Linked DNA regions of Saccharomyces cerevisiae S288C. The protein of the gene in region 1 interacts with the protein of each later gene in a biochemical or structural test. Each region holds a gene or a part of one and is shown on either strand. Other genes may lie near its edges.

Evidence for each region. The genes of interacting proteins can lie anywhere in the genome.
Region 2: the proteins of INO2 (region 1) and OPI1 form a complex in vitro, tested with the Saccharomyces cerevisiae proteins (2 studies listed by BioGRID).

What each region holds. Positions count from the first base shown.
Region 1 is NC_001136.10:696,019-703,821, forward strand, and holds INO2 (Ino2p), read right to left. Parts: upstream 3,451-7,803; coding exon 2,536-3,450; downstream 1-2,535. Other genes in the region: serine/threonine protein kinase KIN1, read left to right, coding at 1-1,876; YDR124W (uncharacterized protein), read left to right, coding at 4,297-5,271; ECM18 (alpha/beta hydrolase family protein), read right to left, coding at 5,379-6,740; palmitoyltransferase SWF1, read left to right, coding at 7,216-7,803. UniProt on the Saccharomyces cerevisiae protein: Positive regulatory factor required for depression of the coregulated phospholipid biosynthetic enzymes. Also involved in the expression of ITR1.
Region 2 is NC_001140.6:63,753-72,134, forward strand, and holds OPI1 (transcriptional regulator OPI1), read right to left. Parts: upstream 3,705-8,382; coding exon 2,490-3,704; downstream 1-2,489. Other genes in the region: SPO11 (DNA topoisomerase (ATP-hydrolyzing)), read right to left, coding at 1-405; AIM17 (Aim17p), read right to left, coding at 710-2,107; APM2 (Apm2p), read right to left, coding at 3,979-5,796; MCO14 (4a-hydroxytetrahydrobiopterin dehydratase), read left to right, coding at 5,956-6,318; YHL017W (uncharacterized protein), read left to right, coding at 6,524-8,122; DUR3 (Dur3p), read right to left, coding at 8,285-8,382. UniProt on the Saccharomyces cerevisiae protein: Negative regulator of the transcriptional complex INO2-INO4 in response to phospholipid precursor availability.

The sequences.
Region 1 (7,803 bases):
AACAAGAAGTGTTTTGGTCAGTATAATCACAGATCCTACTTACGTTCTTCTCTCTAGACAATACTGGACTTTAGCGGCCAAAATGAACGCAGAATCCAGTGATAACGGAAACGCGCCAAACATAACAGAGAGTTTTGAAGACCCAACTCGGGCATATCATCCAATGATTTCCATATATTACTTGACTTCTGAGATGCTTGATAGGAAACATGCGAAAATTCGGAATCAACAACAGCGACAGAGCCACGAAAATATAGAAAAGCTTTCTGAAATACCGGAAAGTGTGAAGCAAAGGGACGTAGAGGTCAATACAACCGCTATGAAATCAGAGCCAGAAGCCACGTTGGCGACAAAAGATACCTCTGTGCCATTCACTCCAAAGAATAGCGATGGCACAGAGCCCCCCTTACATGTCTTAATTCCACCGAGGTTAGCAATGCCAGAACAAGCGCATACGTCACCAACGAGTAGAAAAAGTTCTGATAATCAACGCCGTGAAATGGAATATGCTCTCTCTCCAACTCCTCAGGGAAATGACTATCAACAATTTAGGGTACCTTCAACTACTGGCGATCCCTCAGAAAAGGCGAAGTTTGGGAATATATTTAGAAAATTATCACAGCGCCGTAAAAAGACCATTGAACAGACATCTGTTAATAGTAATAATAGTATCAATAAACCTGTGCAAAAGACGCATTCTCGCGCTGTTTCAGACTTTGTCCCTGGTTTTGCTAAACCGAGTTATGATTCAAATTATACCATGAATGAGCCTGTCAAGACAAACGATAGCAGAGGTGGCAATAAAGGTGACTTTCCAGCATTGCCTGCGGATGCAGAAAATATGGTAGAGAAGCAAAGGGAGAAGCAAATTGAAGAAGATATAATGAAATTGCATGATATTAATAAACAGAATAATGAAGTTGCAAAAGGAAGCGGGCGGGAAGCTTACGCTGCACAGAAGTTTGAAGGAAGCGACGACGACGAGAATCATCCCTTACCACCTCTCAATGTTGCAAAAGGTCGAAAACTACATCCAAGCGCAAGAGCTAAATCAGTTGGTCATGCTCGTCGTGAATCACTCAAATATATGAGACCCCCAATGCCTTCATCTGCCTATCCTCAGCAAGAGCTTATAGATACTGGGTTCTTAGAATCAAGTGACGATAACAAATCCGATAGTTTGGGAAATGTTACTTCACAGACGAATGATAGCGTCAGCGTGCATTCTGTGAACGCACACATAAACTCGCCATCTGTGGAGAAGGAATTAACAGATGAAGAGATATTGCAGGAAGCTTCTAGAGCTCCAGCCGGTTCTATGCCATCCATCGATTTCCCCCGTTCTTTATTTTTGAAGGGTTTCTTTTCTGTTCAGACAACTTCATCGAAGCCTTTGCCAATTGTTAGATACAAGATTATGTTTGTTCTGAGGAAAATGAATATAGAGTTCAAGGAGGTTAAGGGTGGTTTTGTTTGTATGCAAAGGTTCTCTTCCAATAATGTGGCAGCGAAGAGAGAAGGGACTCCAAGATCGATCATGCCACTTTCGCACCACGAATCCATTAGACGTCAAGGCTCTAATAAATACTCACCTTCTTCTCCTTTGACAACTAATTCCATTCACCAGAGAAAAACATCTATTACCGAAACCTATGGAGATGATAAGCATTCGGGAACATCTTTGGAGAACATCCACCAACAAGGTGACGGTAGCGAAGGCATGACTACAACAGAAAAAGAGCCCATCAAATTCGAAATTCATATCGTCAAGGTTCGTATTGTTGGTTTAGCCGGTGTGCATTTTAAGAAAATTTCTGGGAACACTTGGTTGTATAAAGAGCTGGCTTCTAGTATATTAAAAGAACTAAAGTTGTAAGTAACACGTTCCCTGAGAAACCACAGCTTACATTTTTGATATTCGAAAACAAGAATATCCGTTCGATAGAAATTTATATATATATATAGATTCTTTTTATTCTCTTTTGGAAAGAAGAAATAGAATGGACCTAAGCAGACACTCAGCAGTTAATATTTTCGTCCCTTAATTGGTATTATTTATAAATAAATGGCACGTACTTTATGTGTAAAGCAGTTCATCATCGATTGATGGAGAGAATTTGTATACGTAGAGCGATCATTGCACCGTTTACCAGGACAGGATTCATATGGATGTAATAGGACTATTACTTCACTGAATCAATACAACTCGTAACGGTCATATAACTGCGAGTTTGTACGCAGTTATTCTGTTTGTGAAGACAGATTATACTTCGCCGTTGAAAGATTTCTTTACTTCACCATCATTGCCTCCGGATTCTCTTAACTTCTAAATAAAATGAAGATACTGGTAATTCTTGTCCGCAAAAATCTACGCTACACTCTGGAAAGAAACGAGATTTTCTACCGTCTGGTTTATAATGAATATATTTACATGACCAGCTTTGCAATCATATGATATTTTCGCCCATGTATACGAAATTAACTAAAAATACATCCAACGGGAGGCCATTTTCATCACTAATAGCTTGTATGAGCTCAGGAATCATCCAGTATGTGCTGTAGTGCTTCATTTGCGCTTCTAATGGACTTGATATCGTTCATTACACAAGTTAAAAGAATATGCTTGGGAATTCTTTTCCCGTTTTCCTTCGGTGGGGTCCTTACTGATTTAATGAGCCTTTCAAAGGCTTCTTTGGTGTTTATTCTTCGTATCTTCTCCATTTGAACGTGTTTCCATTTCCGTACCTTCACAGGGTCGTCCTCGATATTGGCTGGAATATCAGAGTCTGGGATTCGTATCTCAGGTACTGAAAACGGTGGCGGGTTGTAGTGGTCATTGCCGATAGGCTGATGAGGTCCTTCCCTCGTGGTGAACTCAGTTGGCACATCTGCTGTGTTTGTGGGTAACTCCCCTGTGTTACTGTGTGGATGTGTTTCAGGATATCTTTGATTTAATTCGGTATACCTATGCTGCTTTTTTGGTGATCTTATATGTAGATGTGATTCGGAGTTCATGGAAGCGTTGGAAGACATCATATCCTGTGATATTAGATTGTCTAAAAACTGTTCAATGGCATTCGATTCATTCGTGCTCAACAACCCCGAACTGGAAGGAGACAACTTGAGACCAAGCGCTTGATCAAAACCCATGCTTGGTTGATGAGGGTTGTGATTTAGATAGTGTGCATGAGTATGCAAAGGAGCATGATGAGTTTGGTTATCGGCAGGTATAGTTTCTACGTGAGAGGGTTGCACGGTTGCTACGTTAGGAATTATGCCGAGCTCGTGTGTTAACAGAGGAGGGGAAGTTGCACTAAACGTGTTTTCATGTATGTGCGCAGACATTTGGTCGTCGAAGTTACTGCTGAGCATTTGGTAAGCAGTTTCAAAGTCTATATCGTTATCCAGATCTAGGATACCCAGTAATTCGTTCCCAGTTGCTTGTTGCATTTTCTCCTTTGCTGTTCCATGTATTTATTTATTGCACGTCAACGAGATGGAACCGAACCAATTTCGAATTGCTTATGACGCCAAATACTGATTACAATAAGATATGATGAGATGAGCCTTTAATCACTGAAAAAAATTCACATGTGTGTTGTACTTGGACAGGTGTCAACGCCCTGCCGATGACGGAGGGAGATAGAAAACCGGCGAATTTTTTACCTCCTGCTGAAAAAAGGTTAGGTTGGTTCCATCTGCCGCACTATGGAGGGTGATTCAACGGAAAAGGCGCAGGAAGTGCAGTAGTGACCGGCAAGCAGCATGTTGAAAGACATTGTTGGGAAATCCTGTTTGAGTCCTGGTGTGTCTTCATTCTCCTACCATTTGTAGCTGGCGTAGATTTGGTTTGAGTGTGGTTGGTTAATTCATATTAAGCGTTGAGATTATAATAATAGAAATAATGGAAGAGGCACTCGATCCATATTATCAAGGATTCAAAGTAACTCAGATCTGCAGTAAAGGAGAGATGCGACTGAGAACAAATTCCTTTGCAATGGCATCGGCAATGGCACAATATGGAACTTTTTCTTGTACTGTTGAAAAACAGCACGCTGCAGTTGCATCAGGGTTGTTTTAAGTTGTTGTAGTAATCTCGCGACCTGAGACATCCTTGAAGCGGTGCCTGCGAAGTCTTAGTGAAGAGTTTAAGATTAGAAGTATATAGCATCGAAGGGATGGCCCAACTGAAGCAGGTTCCTCTGCTTGTTTCTCAGCTTATATAAAGGATGGATTGCGTATGTATACATGTGCATTTGTGCGTACGTCATTTTTCGATAGAGTCAGCTTAAGTACATGCGTATAGGTATGGAAGAGCTTAGAAGGGCGCTGGCGCTGCTAAATGGTCAAGGATATGAGTTTATGGTGTTCATAAAGGAAAAAGACCATTTAATAAGTGAGTCAATTCCAAAAAACTTGTTCTCAGAGAGTTTTATATCATCTTCAATTGAAAAAAACCCTCCACTCACGTTCGATCCATTGGTAAATAGGAAAAGAATAACTGTTTATGAAGAAAATATCCAACCAGCGATCATGCTACCCTTAGATCAACCCCTACTAATACAGAATTATCTGTATACGGCTTTTAAATTATTAAGACAGGTCCCATGCAAGGCGATTGCTAAGTTGTGGATAAAAATTATTGAGCCAAGGAAGAAAACCAGGTTTCCATACATTAAAGGCAATGCTGGAAGGCCGGAATGGTGGCCAAAAGATGTAGAACATAAAGAGCCGGACCACCTCCAGAAAGCGGATCGACTGAAATTGATGTGCACGATAATTATGAATGTTCTACCGCAATCTCCCTTCAGCCTTGAGATTTTGGACGAGCTTACAGGAGTGACCGCCGCAATGACCATTTTTAAGAAAGAAACTGTGAAGAAAGTAATCATGAAAAATGTTTTCGAAATTGCGAAATGCTTGTGCAACAAAGATTTCAAGCAGAAGACCATATCACTTGATGATTTAAATGACCTAGCCCAAAAACAGAAAAAATCATACCATAGTCGTCGATTTGATGTAAATAAAATGGTTAAGGTAGAAAAAGATTTGTTACAACAGTCAAGTGGAAGCGATTCTTCACCCTCGATGATCCTTCCTTCAAAAGAAAGTGACACAGAGTATTTCCCCAGGGAATATCCGAAAGACCCTGTATCGGAGGATTATTCGAATAGCATATCTCGATTAGAAAATTTAGTGGAATTTGATCCGTTATTCCTCACTAAATTGGATGAATTAACTAGTAGCGATGATTGTAAAGATTTTATTTGAGAAAAATTTCAAAGCAAAGAAAAGAGGTGTGAGGAGCGCAAAAGCAAAAAGGGGGATAGCATACATTAACACATTTTTTGGCTCTTTGCTACTTGATTTGGTTGCTATCAAGGCGATTTAGTTTCGTCTGATAAGAAGGACACTATAGATTGGTTGAATGATTCTGGGTTATCTAAAAAAAGATTGTGACCGGAAGAAGGTATTTCTAAATAACTTGCTCCTTCTAGACAGTTCTTTAAATTGTTCAACTCTTTGACCATGAACATACCGGCTTTTTTATTCATCCAATCATATTGCCCATATACTATCAATAATTTCTTAACATTTAAATATTGCAGAGAATCCATCAAGGGGTCCTTTGCTAGGATACATCTTGAAAATAACGCTTTGAAAATATCTGTCGTAACCTCCGGTATACCTCCCTTACCGTAAAACAGTTCAAATATGTACTCTTTGTATGCCAACGATGGGACTCGGCTATATGCCGCCATTATGTAATTCCAACATAACTTAGCTCCTAATGGTCCCATCATTCTCAAAATGTGAAATTGTTGTTCAAATAAGTATTTTGGAATCATATTTCTTTTGGAGTAAAACTTGGAATTTGGATTTTTAAAATCGATAGTATAAAGAGTGTTGGAGTGGAAATTATTATTTACAGACCAGATATTCCTTTCCACTCCTAGTGGGGATACCAAGCAAAGTTTGTTTACCGAGTTTGGATATTTAACAGCATATTTAAAAGATAAATATCCGCCAAAAGAATGCCCCACAACATTCATTTTGCCCAATTTGTTATCAATGCGCCATTGCTCGATTCTGTCGAGATAGAAATCTTCGTACATTTGAATCACAAATTTATTGTGATTTGCATTTATTGTATATGGAACCTTAAATTTATTTTCTCCAATAAATTTGATATCTAACGGCAGAGGTGTTGTTGTATTGATCTCTAAAGACGGTACTGAAGACAATCCGCTCGCTGGCATGTCAATTGAGTATAAATTTCGGATGTGCTTGGACAGACCTGGATAATTTCTGAAAAAAGACATTGAAGATGCGGCATAGCCATGTATCAGCAATGTTGGTGTTCGAACAGTACTTGTGTTTTCATTTTGGAAATGCCATTGATTTATTTCGTTGAATAACTTATCATTCTTTTTAATACCTTCAACGTGTACCTCTTCCATAATACGTCTCTGTAATTCCTCCAGCCGCATATAAGTTTTGTGTGGGTTATTCAAATGGCTTGACCATAGCTTGAATCCAGATTTTTTGACAGCATTTTCCTCCTTGGGTCTAAGAATCCTTTCCAAAATTTTTCTCTGGAGACTCTTTTCACGACGTTTAACTTCCAGTAGGCTTCTATTACTGTGGAACGCTCTCTTCCACATGTAACATTTATATACATTCATTATCTGCCTCCTTAAACTTTCAGGGTCCATCAAGTACCTCTTTATTAAAAGCATTTTTCATTCGCTCATCCTTAAACTGGAAAGGCATAAGGAAACTGTCAGAATATATAAATAGAGGTGTAAAACATGTGAAGCTCTGTGGAGTTCTAAGCTGGAATCGAAACAGTTGTCTCAATTTTAGTAATGTCCAAGGGCTTTCCAGGAGGTCAGTATATTCAAAGCCAAAATAATTAATGTTTTGGTCTGAATTTTTATTTTTCAAAAATGAGGTGAAAACCTCCAACGAAACTTTTTAATTAAAACCATCCGATACAGAATTTTAAATCATCTAAAGCATTTATTCGGCATTTTATCCTTGAATAACGTACTATGCAACTCATATAAATACTACAATATACTTTCTCTTTAGGAAATTCGTAGCTATCAACAAAGGTAGTGTCATTGTATATATACTTCCGCCTTCCTAAAAAAAACTTCATTATGCCTCCAAAGAAGATATCTTTGTCTCCTAACATGAAAAGAACAAACAATGTCATGGAATCTACTATTTGTGCTGCTAATAGGATTCGTAGTTTTGATATTACTTTCGCCCGTCTTCAAGTCAACATGGCCATTTTCGACTTTCTATCGTAATGTGTTTCAGCCCTTCCTAGTGGATGACCAAAAATATCGTTGGAAGTTGCATTTAGTACCTCTTTTCTACACCTCTATTTACCTGTACCTAGTATATACATACCACATGAGAGTGGAGTCTACGATTAAGAATGAGCTATTCCTTTTAGAACGAATACTGATCGTGCCTATAATTATACTACCGCCGGTAGCATTAGGAATTCTAGCCATGGTAAGCAGAGCTGAGGATTCAAAGGATCATAAATCAGGCTCGACAGAGGAATATCCATATGATTACCTATTGTATTATCCTGCCATAAAGTGTTCGACATGCCGGATCGTCAAGCCTGCTAGATCCAAACATTGTAGCATTTGCAACCGATGCGTTCTCGTCGCCGACCATCATTGCATCTGGATAAATAACTGCATCGGAAAGGGAAACTACCTTCAATTCTACCTTTTCCTAATTTCCAACATATTCTCGATGTGCTACGCCTTTCTAAGG
Region 2 (8,382 bases), on another chromosome or scaffold:
GTAGAAGATATCTCTCACTGTAGTGTTTTTACCTAGCGGTAATTTTTCCATAACGACTTTCAATAAGTTTAAAAGGATTGCGCATCTTTTCAACTTGAACTGATGAGTGCATAGATGCGGGCCATTCAAAGGGAAGTCCAATGTTGTGTGAATGTCAGGACTGCTTGTATCGCCTTTTTTTTTTTTGTTTTGAAAGACGATTGAAATAGGCTGTTGATGTTGCTCTAATGAATTAGCCGCCAATGACAGGAAATGCTTAATATGAGCCAAAACATCTGCGTTTGAACAGGGAGTTCCGTTGGAGTGACCATTGGAGTTCAAGTGAATGGACCGTCTTTTAGGAGTGAGTGCTTTGACCAATTCCTGCCTTGTTTTATATTTTTTCCGCAATCCCTCCAAAGCCATGAGAAGGTGAACTTAGTAAATCGTAAAATCTTAAGGGTGAAGACAAATATGTGAGGTTATTTGAATGATATTTAGTTGGATATAATCACTAAATAAAGTAGATTTTCCTTGGGTAGTAGACTTTCTTTTACGTTATTCCTTTTATAATTTTAATTTTAGTTATTGATTTCAATGAAACAAAAGGAAACTGACGGCTTCTTAAAATAAATATATTTAACATGAAACATTAAAAAAAAAATTGTCACTACACAGAGAGAAAATAAATAAATATAAAGAATCACATAACTATGCTGAAAAAATGAAGTTATTTGTCATGAGGAAACTTCTCTTCCAAGAACTTTAATTTACTCTTGAAAGTATCAGAATCGAAATAGCAACCCTTTAACCATTGCTGGTTTGAGCTTGTTAAAGAGTTAGCATGCAAAATTCTCCTGTTGTTAAAGATAACACAACAGTTTTCGGGCAACTGCAATCTAAATTGATTGTTGAAGTCATTGATATGACTCTCGAACAAGTTCAACCCCCTAATGAAAGACTTAAACAAAAATCTCTCTGTTAGTTTTGCTGGGGTGGTAATTAAATTCAAGTCCAGATTATTATTTAGATCTGAGGGCTTATCATAAATTCCGAAAGTGAAAGGTGCTTGGTATGGTGGAGAGTAGTTAATGCATTTAATCAAGGCCTCATAATTACCCAGAAGAGTATTGTCCTCGTTAATGTCGTGATGTTCGATTAAAGGTTTGGATTGGTAGTACCTCTTATCGCCGTTTTCATATATATAATTTACAGGAACAATTTGTAAAGCCTCATAAGCCTCAAAATCCGATTCTCTAACATTACGGGTAGCATAAAATGCGTCCACGAAGTAATTCATGGGTCTAGTATTGGGATCTTCCCCTTCTGTAGCAGGTAGAGATTGTAGAATCTGGAAACCTGGCACATTTTCTAAAAATGGTAAATCCGTATGTAGCGGCAAGTCTTTATTGGCATAATGGGCATTAACACTTGTCGCTTGGGATGCATTCACGTCAAATGTACCTTCACCATGTACAGTCGATCTTATGGGTCCGATCCTTTCACAGATCTTTTGTATGGTAAGGCCTTCAGAGGAGGATGAAGGAGTACCGGAAATGAAAGCGATACCAAACTTTTGTAGGTTGACCAGCGTTTGGAAAAGCTTGGAGTCATCCTTAGGATCAATAAACTCGTTGTAGCTCACAGAAAGTAAGTCCTTGACGTTATCTTTCAGGATGCGCTTATTCCATAACTGGGGTCTATATCTGGATTCTTGTTTTCTTGTTGCTGGCGAAACAAAACTGGAACCTTTATAGTCGATAAAGAATTGTAAAGGGAACTGGTGATGACCGCCATCTTTCCATTTCACCACTAGAGATTTTCCGTCCTCAGAAATTTGAATGTCCTGAGGAGCGGTCAATTTCTCGTTATGATACAGTTCTCCCGTGGTCACCAGCTTGGCACTATGGGAGGCATCTCTAAGAAAAACGTTGTTAAAGCAAACGGAAACCGGCTTGCTGGACTCCTCCATGGAGAACGTAATTGTCGTAGAATCTCTATTGAAGTATGTTTTGATGATATGTCCCCGATTCGCAGCCGCAGCTGTCGCCGCAGATGTGTATGTCCTTGGTGTAGTGGTCAGTCTTGCAAGGATTCGAGATCCTCTGCATAAATTTGATCTTAGCATCTTGTGTTGGTAATTGGTTTCTAATAATTATTTTTTCTTTTTAACTTGGAATATGTTCCTGGCCAGTTGTGAAGAGTTACCCCTGATATTTGGATCTAGAAGGGCTTCTCCTTATATAGATAGCACTTTTCCTCGAGGATCAACCCCGGAAATGTATTCCCGACCCCCTTACGGCTGCGCAAAGGTCCTTACTGAGCCATTCAAAGGTAAAGAGGGTCCGATAATAATGGTAGTTCAAAAGGGGAGAAGCGGGGCTGGTACAATATCACGATTATGATTATGATTATGATTATGATTATGATTATGGATATTATATAAACTATATTATTCCGTATAATATTATTACTGGTGGTAATGCATGAAAGACCTCAATCTGTCTCGGTTAGTCCTTGCTATCCACGTTGTCCTGAGAGGGCTTTACGTAATTGCCATCCTTCTGCTGTTGCTGCCTGTACTGTTGCTGCTGTTGCAAGAAACGCTCCCTGATCATTTCTTTTACCTCCTGTTTCTGCTTCACCCATTCTTCAGCCTTGCCCAACGTGGAGTCGACTACGCCCATGACATTTCTCACCATTTCCAGGGATTCTTTGGCGAGAATGAGTACTTTCCCATTCGCAGTTACGGAGGAGGACGGCGAGGCTGAGTCGTCGCCATCCTTGTTCCTTTTTTGCTGTTGCTGTTGCAGGAGTTGCTGCTGCAAAAGTTGCTGCTGCTGCTGCTGTTGCTGTTGCTGTTGCTGTTGCTCCACTTTTTGTTCTTCACAGTTGGCATAATGAAACGAAGCATGATGCGGCAGTGATGTACTGTGGACGCTGTCGAACCAATTTGTGGGTAAGTTTAGAAGACTTTCCCGAACCTGAGATCTTGCGGGCTCCGGCAGCGAATTTGCTGTGAACTTCGATATCAGCGAGTAGACTTTCTTGACTGTGCCGACCACCTCCATTTTCACCACAATAGACTGCTCGCTGGCGTTGACCTGCTCTGAGGCATCAAAAAACTCCTCATCGTCGTCGTCTTCGTCTGACGATGTCTCGTCCTCGCCAGCTCCAGTGGTCGTCCTAGCATTTCCATCTTGCTTGTGCAAAGGATGCACCTGCTCCTTTTCAACAAGGTCCTGTAAACACGAGATTTTATCGGAAAGCTGCTTATTGGCCAGCTTTAAAAGATGCAAGCACGTTACAAGCCTCTTCTTAGACTCGATGGACATGTTCAGCTTGTACTCTTTCAAGTTGTCCTTCCCCTTGGCAATCGCCCGCGACAGCTTCTGTCTCTTGTTGGTGAAGAACTCATCGTCGTTGTAGTCGTAATCATCATGCTCGTCATCGTCATCGTCTAGCAGCCTCCCTATTGATTTCAGTGGCCTCTTGTTGGTGTTTATTTCATCGTAGAATGTCACTACGTTACTGATAATTTTGTTACTTACGCGATCCAAAATGTTTAGCGGCGTCGTAGACGACTCACTTGCCGGCATTTTGTCAGCTTGTGAGACGTCCTCTGAAGGCTGCGACTTCTGTCTGCATGATTGTTTCAACACCCCAAGTACTTCAGCCGCTTCTACCTCTTCCTCTGATAATCCTAAACGTTGATTTTCAGACATCAATGACTAGTATCTTCGTTAAAAACACTGTCCTGATACACACGCTTTAATCAGCACTGTAAACAAAATGCCACGTTCTGGCCTGATATGCTTTCTTGGCTAAGTGCAGATCGCTGTCTTGCTCCAATCCTCTTATTAATCCCTCTCATTGAGGTGGAAAAAAAAAAAATAAGAACGCCCGATTTTACCCGGTTGCATATGAAGATTATAAGGTGCCATCTATATACTAAAACGAACGTACCATTTGTCTATCTATGAGATGTCTGCGTAAGCGTCAAACAATATATGCGTACTCTTCGTCGCTGACGGTCTTGTATCTGACCCAGGGGAAAGACTGGTACTGCAATTGTGGCTCTTCGACCTTCAAGTACTCAACTTTCAGGCCACTGCATGTACAGTACGGAATCTCGAAATCAATGTTGACCAACTTATCTCGAGGAGTAACGTGGGAAGTTTGTTGGTCGTGCACTTGTCTATATAGTTCTTCCAGCCTGGGTCCCGTGCGCAAGGGCGGCGGATTCATTGAGGTTTTCATTTCTTCTTGCAGGCGGTCATATTCTTCCTGGTTGAAGAGGGGGAACTCTGCCACCATGGATGCACACGTATTTGGATCATCTTCGTCGCTGTTGTACTGTGAGCTCTTGTTTGTGCTATGTTCTCGGTGCCCCTTCATGGTTTGTATCTCCCAGAGGAGAAAATCGTCACTCAAGTTAAACACGACCTTGCCGATGTTTGCCTTGAATCTAATTTGCTTGCTGAGGTCTATTTTATATTCCTGGAAGACTTTTGTCAGGGGAATTCTCACGTTTAGCTTCGACGTTGAGTTGGTGGGTTTAAAATTTGTTTGAATTTTGGTTACAATTTGGATTTTAAACTTCTTCAGTTTAGGTTTGATTTCAAAATCTTTCAACCTCACCATCGGCGCATCCTTTACATGTCTCTTCAACTCGTATTGGCAAAGAACAAATTCGCCATCCGGCGGTATAAATTCGATTTCTCTTGCATCTGTGGCGGCCTGCAAACCAGCATCATCGTCACTATTCTTTTCTTCATCTTTTTCAATAGTGTTTATGGAATCTAGTGAAACACACTGATGAAAGCTGGAATTCGACATGAACTGGGGGTCCCTGTTCAGTATCTTGTTTATGGATATTTTCAGTTTGGGCATCCCTGATAAATAGCATCTGCACACAATCTCTCCATGTATCAGATTTTTCCTAATCACTCCTTTTTCAAAATCCATCAAGTACTGAACACGTTCAATAACATCAAGAAAGAACTCGTTTTTGGCGTAATGTATCCCCTTTGTTCTCCATGATATGGGCATTATAATCGTCTTCGCAATATCGCCATTGATGTATAAATCATTACCGTCATTGGGGAGCTCGTCATTAGCGGCTTCTTTACCGGTATCATTCTTGTTCCTTAGTGTCTCCTTGACAGTTTCCACCACGTTTATGCCCCTATTTTCTTTATTGTTTACCATTATACTTTTTAATTTACTTTTGCCCACGCTTTTCCCTTTAGTGCCCTTTTTCTTCTTCCTTTTCTTCTTCTTATCCTTCCTCTTATTAGTATTGCTGTACTCGCTATCGCTATCGCTACCGCTACTACTACTGCTCTCTTCACCAGGGCTCCACTCCTCATTGTCTACTGTAACTCTTGGTACGTTGACCTTCACACGAATGTAGTCCTTGATGATACTTGGATCCGTCACTTGTACGATACCAAAGTCTATACATTCATCAATCAACTCCAGGACAAGTAAGATGTTGTCCAGTATGACATTCTTAGTTAAGACCTCGATTTCAAAATATTTTTGTAAAAGATGATAAAATTGTTCCAAAAAGGCTAGTATAGTCATTAAGTCTATATTTGGTTTGTCTGTGGTATGTATCACTGAAACGAAATGCAGAAAGTCTCTCTTCAAATGTATAAAGAACCAATCGTTTTGGGAGAGAATTGGAGGCGACCCGTCATGATAACATTGTTTGAAACTTGAAAGAACCGACGATAGATTCGGTAGTGCTCTAATATTCTTCGATACCAATGGCTCCAGATTTTCATCCAGGATAAAAAGGCTTGACGACATGCCTTTCCTTCCTGATTTCCTCTTTACTATTTTTGGGTCCCTTTATTTGCTTTTTGTCCAAGGCATTCTCAATTTTCCAATCTGGAATTTAAGCCCTTCCAGTTATAAAACAGTAAACACAACCTACCAAAAGCAGAAAGAAACCAAAGTAAGAATACAATGCACAACAAGATTGTTAGAATCGCGTCCAGTGCACTCACAGGGGGCAAACTACTCGAGAAGCTAAAACCCTTGACCCGTTGGGAAGTTCAATGGGACCCTAATAAGACCAAATGTTTGGGAATAACAAGAGAGGTAACATTCAAGGACTACGAAACCACATGGGCCTTTTTGACTCGTGTATCGATGAGATCTCATCTATGGGGCCACCATCCCCTGATTCACACAAGTTACACCTGGGTCAAGCTGGAACTTCATACGCATGACATAGACCCGAAAGACGGGGCTCACAGCCAGCTTAGCGATATAGACGTCCGGATGGCCAAGAGAATAGATTCCTACATCGATGAGATGACAACTTGATAAGGCAGGGCAGGTCTAAAAGGCTATTGCTCTTTCCATTTTTTTTTTCCTATCGATTTTACTACTAGAAATTTTTGCTACCCATACCCATTCTCGCATTGCAACATGGAAAAACTGAAAATTGAAAAAAAAGGTATTGAAATTTCAACTGTATTGTGTAAATCATTTTTGGGCAAACTAGACACAATAACTAGCGAACAGAAAAATGGATAGAACGTGGCTATTACTGACGTGGCTGTTGCTACTCTGTGGGGTAGTTCAAGGGAACCAAGAAAGCATAAATCAAAAATATCACGATGTCTGTTCAGGGATGTATTCCAAGGAGGATTTCAATGGAAAAGTTGACCCCTATATATCGTTTACGTTGGAGGAATTGTCACTTGCTGATGAAGACGATGATGGCGAGGGGGTTAGTGTTGCTGTGTTTGATTTCCAAGATTATGAGCATATTGGTGTGCGGTTACCAAATGGAGAAATTCAGTATATTTGCGATGACTACGCATTGGATTTGGGCCTCTGTGAGGATTCGTCGGAGGGGCAATTTATCATTCAAGAGACAGCCATCGATCCGTTCACCAGTAAGGAACATAAGCTAACGAGTCAGATTTTGACTTTCACTCAACAAGAATTGGGCACTAACGACAAGGTATACTCAATTAACAAAACTGGTTACTATTGTGTGACCACGTCATCTTTCATTTCTTCCAGTTCCAAGTTTAAGGCTACAGTGAATTTTAGGAACGCTTACGGTCAATTGGACGCTTCAGAGGCGTACAAGATGCCTATTTATGCCTTTTTGGCCGTCGCTTATGCCGTCTGTACATTAGTGTACTCTTGGCTATGCTGGAAGCATAGACATGAGTTACTGCCTTTACAAAGGTACATTTTGGTATTTTGTATTTTCCTAACAGCTGATACTATTTTCGTCTGGATGTACTATATTATTGAGAACCAGAAGGGAAACTCCAGCGTCGCTCTTCATGTCTATATGGTTTTCATATCGATCTTTAGCGCCGGTAAGATGACTTTCACGCTTCTCCTCGCCTTGCTGATATCTCTTGGATATGGTATAGTATATCCAAAACTGGACCGTACATTGCTAAGAAGATGTCAAATATTTGCGATATTTACGTTTGCAGTGTGCGTTGCATTCCTGGTCCAAAAATATTCCCAGAATTCTGAGTCTTTATCCAATTTGATTTTGATTACTGCTATCCCCTTAGTATTATGTCTATTCGCTTTCTATTATTTGACACTGTCTTCAATGAACAAAACAATGACTTATTTGAGGGAACAAAACCAAGTGGTGAAATTAAACATGTACAGAAAACTGATCATATTGTGTTATATTTCGTTGTTTATACTCTTCTTAGGCTTACTAGTCTCTACTTTTGCATACGTCGGTATGGACACTGTTGACATGATAGAACAATATTGGAAAACAGAATTCCTCATCACAGATACTTGGCCTAGTTTCGTTTACTTCTTGGTCTTCGTCATTTTCGCATTCTTCTGGAGACCTACAAGTACATCATATTTACTAGCGTGCTCGCATCAATTACCAACTGACATGGAAAATGTATCAGAATTCGATTTAGATGACATAAATTCCTTGTCTGATGAGGCATTGCCTAATAGAGAGCCACGTAATGACTACCAGGAACACGATCACAATATGGATATTGATTTAGCATCCGATTTTGAAGAAGTGCCAAGTGTAAATGCAAATACGAACGCAAATAATGACGTATTGTTCGACGTAGATTACGACAGAGATGCAAAAAATGATAGAAGTACTACATAAACGGACCAAATAACATAAATTTAGAAATTTCCTTTTTTTTTTTTTTTTCCCCTTGACTTTCTTTTCTTTTATGTACCTATAATGAAAGACTATTTTATAATTAGAGCTATTTAAAAATTATTAATGAGGTTGATGAGTGGATAGAATATTATATTTTGAAAGCTAAATTATTTCATCAACTTGTCCGAAATGTGATGATTGTCTATGTGCTCTCGCACTAATTTGGCTTGTTACTACATGCAGATCTTGTGGGTTCGAAT